3 linked regions of the Macaca fascicularis genome follow. The protein of the gene in region 3 binds, or shares a complex with, the protein of the main gene of each other region. Links are inferred from orthologs where the notes say so. Each region holds a gene or a part of one and is shown on either strand. Other genes may lie near its edges.

The links.
Region 1: MED13 (region 3) and MED24 share a complex: the UniProt entries of both Homo sapiens proteins name them as parts of the mediator complex. The link is inferred for Macaca fascicularis from reciprocal best matches to the Homo sapiens genes MED13 and MED24.
Region 2: MED13 (region 3) and MED25 share a complex: the UniProt entries of both Homo sapiens proteins name them as parts of the mediator complex. The link is inferred for Macaca fascicularis from reciprocal best matches to the Homo sapiens genes MED13 and MED25.

Annotation. Positions count from the first base shown.
Region 1 is NC_088390.1:61,081,129-61,083,710, forward strand, and holds the end of MED24 (mediator of RNA polymerase II transcription subunit 24), read right to left. Parts: intron 1,795-2,582; coding exon 1,714-1,794; intron 1,453-1,713; exon of another isoform or gene 1,387-1,452; coding exon 1,238-1,386; intron 1,102-1,237; coding exon 985-1,101; 3' UTR 547-984; downstream 1-546. UniProt on the Homo sapiens protein: Component of the Mediator complex, a coactivator involved in the regulated transcription of nearly all RNA polymerase II-dependent genes.
Region 2 is NC_088393.1:57,802,628-57,806,980, reverse strand, and holds the start of MED25 (mediator of RNA polymerase II transcription subunit 25), read right to left. Parts: upstream 2,938-4,353; 5' UTR 2,885-2,937; coding exon 2,751-2,884; intron 2,657-2,750; coding exon 2,611-2,656; intron 1,397-2,610; coding exon 1,272-1,396; coding exon of another isoform or gene 1,250-1,271; intron 693-1,249; exon of another isoform or gene 595-692; intron 1-594. UniProt on the Homo sapiens protein: Component of the Mediator complex, a coactivator involved in the regulated transcription of nearly all RNA polymerase II-dependent genes.
Region 3 is NC_088390.1:46,446,419-46,450,066, reverse strand, and holds part of MED13 (mediator of RNA polymerase II transcription subunit 13), read left to right. Parts: intron 1-1,935; coding exon 1,936-2,026; intron 2,027-2,158; coding exon 2,159-2,373; intron 2,374-2,659; coding exon 2,660-2,856; intron 2,857-3,648. UniProt on the Homo sapiens protein: Component of the Mediator complex, a coactivator involved in the regulated transcription of nearly all RNA polymerase II-dependent genes.

The sequences.
Region 1 (2,582 bases), about 15 Mb from region 3:
TTGTCCTCCTCAGCTCCTCGGTCCCTCCCACCTCCCCAGCCCGTGGCTCCTCGGAAAGCAGGGTCAGAAGTGTCCACTGCCAGGCTCGGAGACGTGTGAGGCAGGCAAGGAAGGGTTAAAGAAAGGTCCGGCCCTCATCCCCCCGCCTCCCATCCCCCAGTCCTTTTTTGGAGGCAACAGACCAAATCCCAGGCTAGTCAGAGTGTGGGTAGGGTTGGGCCAGGTTCGGGAGAAAGCAGAGCAGGCCACCCTGCCCCAGCACTGTGGGGCCCTGAGCCAAAGCCTCTCCCCTTTCAGGGTACAGCTGGCTTTGCGGGAGGGGCAGCAGGCCGGCCAACTTGGCTCCAAGGAAGGGAAGCTGCTTTCCCCTGGCCCTTCCTCAGCTGAGCAAGTCCACATAGGACCCTAAGCCCTGCCACCTCTGCACCTCTTCCTCCTCCTCCTCACCACAGGAGTGCGCTTTCCCCGGCCACAGCACAGGCAGTCCAGGGAGAGAGCACTGTGCCCCGCCCCGGGTGACACTGATACCAACAGCACCCACAGTCGCAAAGGGATCCACGAGGAGCTTTATTTACACATGAACAAAGGTAGATTTCCCTCACATATTACAAAATATATACACACACACACACACACACACACACACACACACACACACTCTCTGCGTCTAGAAAGTTCCTCAGAAGTAAGATTACCCCTGGGCTGGGGCGGGCGCACACAGGGGTGACCACTGGGCTTGTGGTCCAGGCTGCTCACACTCCTCAGGTGCTGGCAGACAGAGAAGAAATTTCAAAAGAGGAAACCAGGAGACATCCTGGAGGTCAGGAGTCAGAAGCGGGGAATTAGAAGCTGCCAGAGGCTCTTGCACCATGTGGAGCGGATGTGAGCCACGATGCCTCATCTTTCCTCACTGCTTCCCTTGGAGGCACCTGGGGCTGTGCCAGTCCCCAGCCCCCAGCCCCCACTGCGGCCATGCCAAGCTCCTCAGAGTGCAGCAATGGCTTTAGCAGCCACCTGGCGGCCCAGGGGCAGGCTGAGGTCCGTGATGGCCAGAACCACCTTGGGGCTGGACATGGCTGACACCTTCACCAGTTCCGACACCTGCCACAGACAGAGATGCTGCTTGCTGGATGGCTGGTGGTGGGCGTGCTGTCCCAGGGGAAGGAGGCCCCTCCCTGCTCCAAGGGCTGCACCGAGGCCCCAGCACCAGCGGGAGAGCCAGGAAGGTGGTACTCACGGTGGTGAAGGGCATGAACTGCAGGACACTGCCGCGGCCACCCTGCTCCAGGCAGTCCACACACTCCTCCATGAACCACTGCACGAACTGGGTGTGGGGCCCAGCGGTGCGCGACCCCAGGATGGAGGAGATGAGCAGGAAGAGGTTGGCTGTGGAGAGTGACAGGAGGGAGTTCCATGAGAGGGGGTGAGGTCACACTCTGGGAGAAGGCGGGACTGAAAAGGGAAAAGAAATACATGCTGAGCATGTCCCCAAAACGGGGTGTCAGAGAGAGAAAATATAAAAGGCAACCGGGGAGGGGAGGGGGGGAACTAGACAGGAGCCTGGGAGCCAGGACAGCCAGCAATGAGGAGCATGGAGGGAGAAGGGAGGGGCACCATGAGGCCCCTTCCAGATGACAAGGTCGCCCAGCCTCCATGAGGAGAGGGACTCGTCCAGCTTAACCCCAGGTTCAGCAGCACGGGTGGGGAACTTACCCAGGACTCGGTTCAGAGGGTCCCGCATGTTGACGGTGTGGAGCTGAGAGGCTGAGAGGGAGCTGCTCATGGACCGGTCTGCTGTGGGACAGAGCAGACAGAGCGCTGGGGAACAGCCTGCCGAGTGCAAAAGCGGCGCTCCCTGGGGATACCCCCACCTGACCTTCACCCATCGGAGGTAACTGGTACATGGAAAGCCCAGAGAAGACCCTGAGATCAAGAGCACAGAGGGAGGCTGGGTGCAGGGGCTCACACCTGTAATTCCAGCACTTTGGGAGGCCAAGGCAGGAGGACTGCTTAAGCCCAGGAGTTCAAGACCAACCTTGGCAACTAGCGAGACCCCATCTCTACAAAAAATACAAAAATTAGCTGGGCATGGTGCCAAAGCCTGTAGTCCCAGCTCCTTGGGAGGCTGAGGCAGACTGCTTGAGCCCAGGAGAACAAGGCTGCAGTGAGCCGAGATGGTGCCACTGCACTCCAGCATGAGCAACAGAGCAAAACCCTGTCTCAAAAAAACAGGCTGAGCGCGGGGGTTCATGCCTGTAATCCTAGCACTCTGGGAGGCCAAGGCGGGTAGATCACCTGAGTTCAGGAGTTTGAGACCAGCCTGACTAATATGGCGAAAGCCCATCTCTACTAAAATACAAAAATTAGCCGGGCGTTGTGGCAGGCGCCTGTAGTCCCAGCGACTCAGGAGGCTCAGACAGAAAAACTGCTTAACCCAGGAGGCGGAGGTTGCAGTGAGCCAAGATCACGTCACTGCACTCCCTCTGGGCAAGAGAGGGAGACTCCAACTCAAAAAACAACAACAAAAAAGGCACAGAGGGGCCTCGGATACAGAGAGATCCCAACGGAGATGAGAGAGAAAA
Region 2 (4,353 bases), on a different chromosome or scaffold from region 3:
AGGCTGACTTGCCTGAGAGGCAGCAACAGACACAGCCCAGACCCAGGAAAAGTTTTGATAATATTACCTAATGTGCTCTTGGAGACTCTCCCAGCACTCCCTCAACATAGGGAGAAGAAAAAACAAATTTTCCTTTGTTTTATGGAATGAGTTTATAGATTTCTGTTCTCTGTAACTAATGACTTCAAGTATTCTCTTTTATCTAAGAAGTACAGTGAAGGTCATGAGAAGCCTGAGCTGCCTGGGCACCATAGTGAAGGTTATGGGATAAGCCCGTGTCTAGGCAAACCTAGATAACGGACATCTGGGTTGCATAGCAACGGTTATGTGTAATCCTGAGTTATAAACCTGTTACAACAATTTGATTAACTGTCTTTGTCCTGCCTCTGTATCCCTGCTTTCACGCCACTGTAAGTTTGCTTCAAGCTAGCCCACCCCCTTTTGTGAAGTGTGTATAAAAGTCAAGTGCTGTCTTTGTTCCAGGCCGTCTTTGGACGTGAGTCTGCTTGGGCCTGAGTGCACTCAATGAAAGATTCTCTTGCTTTAAGCGGAAGACTCTCTCCCGTCCTCCTCAATCCCGAAACAGTGGCTCACCCCCGTAATCCCAGCACTTTGGGAAGCTGAGGCAGGCAGATCACGTGAGGTCAGGAGTTCGAGACCAGCCTGGTCAACATAGCGAAACCCCGTCTCTACTAAAAAAAAAAAAAAAAAAAAAAAAAATTAGCTGGGCGTAGTGGCGTGTGCCTGTAATCCCAGCTACTCAGGAGGCTGAGGCAGAATCGCTTGAACCCGGGAGGTGCAGGTTGCAGTGAGCCAAGACTCTGCCACTGTACTCCAGCCTGGGAGACAGAGCAAGACTCTGTTTCAAAGGAAAAAAAAAAAAGGTCTGATTCAAGCCACAGAGGGATCTATCCTGGCTCTGACCCATCCCCCTGCATTGAGACTACAATGTACCCATCTGGAAAAGGAGAACGGGGTAAATAGAAAAAGAGAGGACAGAAAGGGGACAATCACACAGGAAGTACAAGGTGGCTGCTGGAGCTCAGCGAGGCCTCCCTGAATGGGAAGTTTTTCCTACTTCTAAACTGGTTGGCAACATTGCTGAGCACACAGAAGCCACAAAAGTGACTTCTGACAAAAACACAATCACCTTCAAAGTCCTTTAAATCGCTTCATGTATGAGATGTTTCCTGCAGCTCAAACCCAAGCCATCCCTCATTCACGGCCCCTCACAGGAACCCCAACCCACCCTAAGTGGGGGAAAAGCTCACTTAATGCCATCGAGCCAGGTGACAAACTCATAGGCGCTGCTGGTGGGAGCGTGACATTGTACATAGGACTCGGGAGCGCAGTCCACTGTGTTGAACACCACGAGGCTGTACTGGGTCCCTCCATACTGGGAGGGGAGAACAGAAAAACTTTTTTTTTATTTTTTATTTTTTTTTTTGAGACGGAGTCTCGCTCTGCCGCCCAGGCTGGAGCGCAGTGGCCGGATCTCAGCTCACTGCAAGCTCCGCCTCCCGGGTTTACGCCATTCTCCTGCCTCAGCCTCCCGAGTAGCTGGGACTACAGGCGCCCGCCACTCGCCCGGCTAGTTTTTTGTATTTTTTAGTAGAGACGGGGTTTCACCGTGTTAGCCAGGATGGTCTCGATCTCCCGACCTCGTGATCCGCCCGTCTCGGCCTCCCAAAGTGCTGGGATTACAGGCTTGAGCCACCACGCCCGGCCCAGAAAAACTTTTAATCTGGGATCTCAATTCTCTTTTCCCTCAGAGAAGGAATCAGGGCTCCCAGCTTCCTGTTCCTCCAGAACCAGGAACTCCTCAACTTCCTCCTTCCTCAGACCCAGGAATCTCAGCCCCATCCCCTCCTCCCTCAGACCCAGGAGTCCAGACCCCGAACTCCTCCTCCCTCAGACCCAGGAGTCCAGACCCCTGTCCCTCCTCCCTCAGACCCAGGAGTCCAGGCCCCTCCTCCTCCCTCAGACCCAGGAGTCCAGACCCCTGTCCCTCCTCCCTCAGACCCAGGAGTCCAGGCCCCTCCTCCTCCCTCAGACCCAGGAGTCCAGACCCCGAACCCCTCCTCCCTCAGACCCAGGAGTCCAGACCCCTGTCCCTCCTCCCTCAGACCCAGGAGTCCAGACCCCTGTCCCTCCTCCCTCAGACCCAGGAGTCCAGGCCCCTCCTCCTCCCTCAGACCCAGGAGTCCAGACCCCTGTCCCTCCTCCCTCAGACCCAGGAGTCCAGGCCCCTCCTCCTCCCTCAGACCCAGGAGTCCAGACCCCGAACCCCTCCTCCCTCAGACCCAGGAGTCCAGACCCCGAACCCCTCCTCCCTCAGACCCAGGAGTCCAGACCCCTGTCCCTCCTCCCTCAGACCCAGGAGTCCGGGCCCCTCCTCCTCCCTCAGACCCAGGAGTCCAGACCCCGAACCCCTCCTCCCTCAGACCCAGGAGTCCAGACCGCGAACCCCTCCTCCCTCAGACCCAGGAGTCCAGACCCCGAACCCCTCCTCCCTCAGACCCAGTAGTCCAGGCCCCTCCTCCTCCCTCAGACCCAGGAGTCCAGGCCCCCAGCCCCTCCTCCCTCAGACCCAGGAGTCCCAAGACTCACGTCTCCCCCGAAGTCCGTCTCAGCAGGAGGACCACCATTAAAATACCTGTGAGGGTCGGAGGTGAAAGGTCGGAGTCAGGCAAGAAGCTGTGGAAACCGAAATGGGAGGGCGGGATTAGAGCCGCGGAAACGGCACTCACTCGATGGCCGGCAGCAGGTAGTGCTTGCGGAGTCCCTCGAAGTAGGGTCCCAGGTTGGCCGTACCCTCAATCACAAACACCACGTCGGCCACCAGGCCCCCGGCGCGGGCCGGGCCCTCGGACCCGGGGACCATACCCCGTGCGGTAGCCGCCACCGCCACAGCCGCCGCAGCCGACACCGCGGAATGAGCGGAAATGCGCCTGCGCTGCGCGCGCACCCGCGCCGGGCGGTTTAGGGACGCTGGGAATGCGGCCATGTTTGTGCGGGGCACGCGCTGAGGCTTCGTTCTAGCTCCATCCTCCTTCGCCTCCACCACGTGGAAAACTCAGAAAGGGCATAGTTAGCCCTTTTAGGGGCCTGATGGGTTCGACGGAATTCTTGTCAGGATTCTCAAGAGCGAAATAAATTGAAAGCGGCTCAGTCAGCCGCCATCTTTGAGCGGGGCGTCTGGGTCCGCCTCTTGTCTCAAAGGGAGGGGCGGGAGACCTGGTTGCTATGCAACGCGTACGCTGCTCTTGTTTTCGTTTTTGTGTTTTGTTTCCTTTGTTTTCGAAACGGGAGTCTCGCCCTGTCGCCCAGGCTGAAGTGCAGTGGCGCGATCTCGGCTCACTACAACCTCCGCCTCCCGGGTTCAAGCGATTCTCCTGCCTCAGCCTTCCGAGTAGCTGGGATTACAGGTGCCCGCCACCAGGCTCCGCTAATTTTTGTATTTTTAGCAGAGAAAGGGTTTACACCATGTGGGCCAGGCTGTTCTCGAACTCCTGACCTCAAGTGATTCGCCCGCCTTGGATTCCCAAAGTGCTAAGATTACAGTCCTGAGCCACAGCGCCGGGACCTCTGCCCTTGTTTTCTAACCGTTAGATTAAGTTTCTGATTCTGTTCTTTTGGGCGGGCGCACTGGGGGAGGGAGGCGAGAAGGATCCAATCACATCGGCGGAAACGAGGTTACTAGGCAACGCTTTAAGGTCGTCCTCAACTTGGAAGGGAGGGCAGTTGTTTTTCCCCTGAAAAGAAGCCGAACACCAACCCAAGTGTGGGTTGCTTAGCAACACCTGAGCGTTGTTTTCCGGGAGAGGAGCCAGAAACTGGCCTAGAACATAAATACATTCCAGGTAGATTAAAAATGTAAGTGCGACAAATGAAACTCGAAAACTATCTGAAGGAAAAAAATCTTAATGACTGCCATGGAGTTTCTTAGCACTACAGCAAAGTCAGAAAACGTAGTCTTTATTAATTTTTCCCAAAAGACTGCATAAACCAAGTTGAAAAATACACTACCAACTGGAATAATCTAACGTGTTTGTTGACAGAAATGTGCTACACAAATCTTATTGATGAATAATATAGAAAAATAGAAACACTGCATTACTATTATCTTTTTAATTTTAATTTTTATTTTTTGAGACAGGGTCTCTTTCTGTTGTGCAGGTTGGAGTGCAGTGGCCCAATCTTGGCTCACGGCAGCCTCTAGTGCTCGCACTGGAGCCACTCTTCTGCCTGTAGAGCAGCTGGGACCACAGCCGCGCACCACCACTCCCAGCTAATTTTTAATTTTTTTTTTTTTTTTTTTTTTTTTTTTTTTGAGACGTTGTATCGCTCTAT
Region 3 (3,648 bases):
TACATTTGGTCTTTCTTTTACTGTATAATATGCATTTAGTCCTCTCTCAACATATATATCTCTCTATTTGTGTATATGTGTGTGTGTACATATACATATATATGCTGCAGATACATAAACTTTTACTGTATATCCCATAGTGTAGTACATTTTAGGGCACCCTTTACTAAATGACTATATCCTTGAATGCTTTGGCACATTAATACGTTCTCTCTACTACCATTCCTGTATCAGCTGTGGTTCCTCTGAGATAAAAAGGTTGTAGTCAGAACGTGGTCTTCTTATTAATATTTATCACAAACTGTCTAACAGAAGACATAGAACTAATATTAGCTCTGAAAACATTGGTAAGAGCTTGGAGATAGTAAAACTTGTTTGTTCAATGTATGAAAACTTAGGAACCCTATTGCTTTGTCATTAGATCTTCTGAAGTTTGTACTTAGTTTTACCTGTTAACAGTATTTTTGCAGGAGTAAGGAGACTATTAAAACAAGGTAAAAGTATAAGAATTTTGATAGATGGGTGATTGATTATATACGAAACTTTAATGTGTTCAACTTAAGGAGACAAATGCTTTGCAAGTATCTTCTACCAAAAAGCATTTCTAATGTTAATTACTGCTCCTTCTTATTGCAAGTTTTCTTATTTTTATTTATTTATTTATTTATTTATTTATTTATTTTTTTGAGACAGAGTCTTGCTCTGTCGCCCAGGCTGGGGTGCAGTGGCCGGATCTCAGCTCACTGCAAGCTCCGCCTCCCGGGTTTAGACCATTCTCCTGCCTCAGCCTCCCGAGTAGCTGGGACTACAGGCGCCCGCCACCTCGCCCGGCTAGTTTTTTGTATTTTTTAGTAGAGACGGGGTTTCACCGTGTTAGCCAGGATGGTCTCGATCTCCTGACCTCGTGATCCGCCCGTCTCGGCCTCCCAAAGTGCTGGGATTACAGGCTTGAGCCACCGCGCCCGGCCCTATTTTTATTTATTTTAAGACAGAGTCTTGCTCTGTTGCCCATGCTGGAGTGCAGTGGTGCAATCCCGGCTCACTGCAACCTCTGCCTCCCAGGCTCAAGCAATTCTTCTGCCTCAGCCTCCTGCAATTCTTGTGCCTCAGCCTCCCGAGTAACTGGAATTACAGGCATGCCCCACCAGGCCCGGCTAATTTTTTGTATTTTTAGTAGAGGTGAGGTTTCACCATGTTGACCAGGCTGGTCTCGAACTCCTGGCCTCAAATTTTTTGATCTGCCTGCCTCAACCTCCCAAAGTGCTAGGATTACAGGTGTGAGCTACCACGTCTGGCCTCTTATTTTGGGTTTTTTTTTTTTTTTTTTTTTTTTGAGACGGAGTCTGGAGTCTCGCTCTGTCACCCAGGCTGGAGTGCAGTGGCCGGATCTCAGCTCACTGCAAGCTCCGCCTCCCGGGTTCACGCCATTCTCCTGCCTCAGCCTCTCGAGTAGCTGGGACTATAGGCGCCCGCCACCTCGCCCGGCTAGTTTTTTGTATTTTTTAGTAGAGACGGGGTTTCACCGTGTTAGCCAGGATGGTCTCGATCTCCTGACCTCGTGATCCGCCCGTCTCAGCCTCCCAAAGTGCTGGGATTACAGGCGTGAGCCACCGCGCCCGGCCCTATTTTGGGTTTTAAGTAAGGTTAACCTTACTTCTGTGTATTTTGAAAGTATTGGTCATTTTCATTGGAGGAACTTTTTCTTTTTAATTTGGAGGCTTACCAAATAAATATTACCAAATAAATAAGTATGAAGTCAGTGATGATCTAAGAAATGTATTATATCGTTCAACACTAGTATGTATTTGGCTGTATCACAGATTCAAAATATTACTTTTAATGAATGGGCTTTACTGTTAAGTTATATCTGAATGATTACTATTTTGAGATCACATTGGATGTAAAATTTTAGATAAATATGCTTTTTTTAAATAGCCTGGATCTAAAAAATCAGCGAATGGATCAGATGATAAAACCAGCTGCAAGGAATCAAAGACAGGAAATCTGGACCCGTTGTCTTGCATAAGTAAGCTTCCATCATCTGTGCTCGTGATAAATTTGCAAACTTAATCTCAACAAAGCTCCCCACTCCCTTTGTTTTAACCACAGATTCACCTATTTTTAGTCATGTTAAAATGTATGTTTTTATTAAATATAGGCACTGCAGATCTTCATAAAATGTATCCTACACCACCATCATTGGAGCAACATATTATGGGATTTTCCCCAATGAATATGAATAATAAAGAATATGGTAGTATGGATACAACACCTGGAGGAACTGTTCTAGAAGGAAATAGTTCTAGTATAGGAGCACAGTTCAAAATTGAGGTTGATGAGGGATTCTGTAGTCCCAAACCTTCTGAAATTAAAGTAAGTATGTTTTTTCTAGAAAAATAATTCACTTCCTGTATTTTCTTATAGAATTAGTTTATTGCTATAGTCAAAAATTATTTCATAGTGGTTGCAGTTTTGTAGCTAAGTTGAAGACTGAATTGTTGTGTCACTATTAAGAATGCATTTAAGAAAATAATAGAATTGTATTTACATTTTATTCTGTTTAAAGAAGGGAAAAAAGGTCCAGAGCCTGTTTGAGATTTTTATTTATTTTCCCCCCCAGAAGATAAGATACTGAAAACCTACCATCTTTATATTGTAGGATTTTTCTTATGTCTATAAGCCTGAAAATTGTCAAATTCTAGTGGGATGTTCCATGTTTGCACCTCTAAAAACTCTACCAAGCCAATATCTGCCCCCTATCAAATTGCCAGAAGAGTGTATTTATCGTCAGAGTTGGACTGTTGGAAAATTGGAATTGCTTTCTTCAGGGTCTGCAATGCCATTCATCAAAGAGGGGTATGATTTATGTTGTTATAATAGTATATGAATTCTTATACAGCTTTAATTTTTTTTCATAGATTTACTTGGTATGCTGGAAAAAGAAAATTGGTTTTTGAAAATTCTAAAAATTATTTCTGGTTAATCAATTATAGTGATTGGCTGGGAGCAGTGGCTCACACCTGTAATTCCAACACTTTGGGAGGCCAAGGCAGGCATATCCCTTGAGGTCAGGAGTTTGAGATCAGCCTGGCCAACATGCAAAACCTCGTCTCTACTAAAAATACAAAAATTAGCCAAGCGTGGTAGTGTGACTGTAGTCCCAGCTACTTGAGAGGCTGAGGCACAGGAATGACTTGATCCTGGGAGGCACATGTTGCAGGGAGCCGAGATTGCACCAGTGCACTCCAGCCTGGGCAACAGAGTAAGACTTCGTCTCAAAAAAAAAAAAAAAAAAAGGTTAATTAGGTATGGTTAAACTATTAGGAAACATAAGACTATTATGCTGGATTTGTATTCAGAAGCACCTTTTCTTTTGGGCTGCAATTTTAAATTGCTTCCACTTTTACATTTGCCATATTTTCCACACGTGTCACATTTTAACATCTCTGACTTTGTCCATTTCAACTCAAGGCTGAAAGAAATCTGAATTTGAGATGTCTTATAAGTGGTAGCATCTTAAAATTACCATTTTTCCCTTTTTACACATGAGCATCTCTGAAATCATTTTTTTAATCATTTTTTTATTTTACAGTCAGTAGCATCTTAGAATCAAGGAAATATAAGTATTTCTAGTAAACATAATTTATA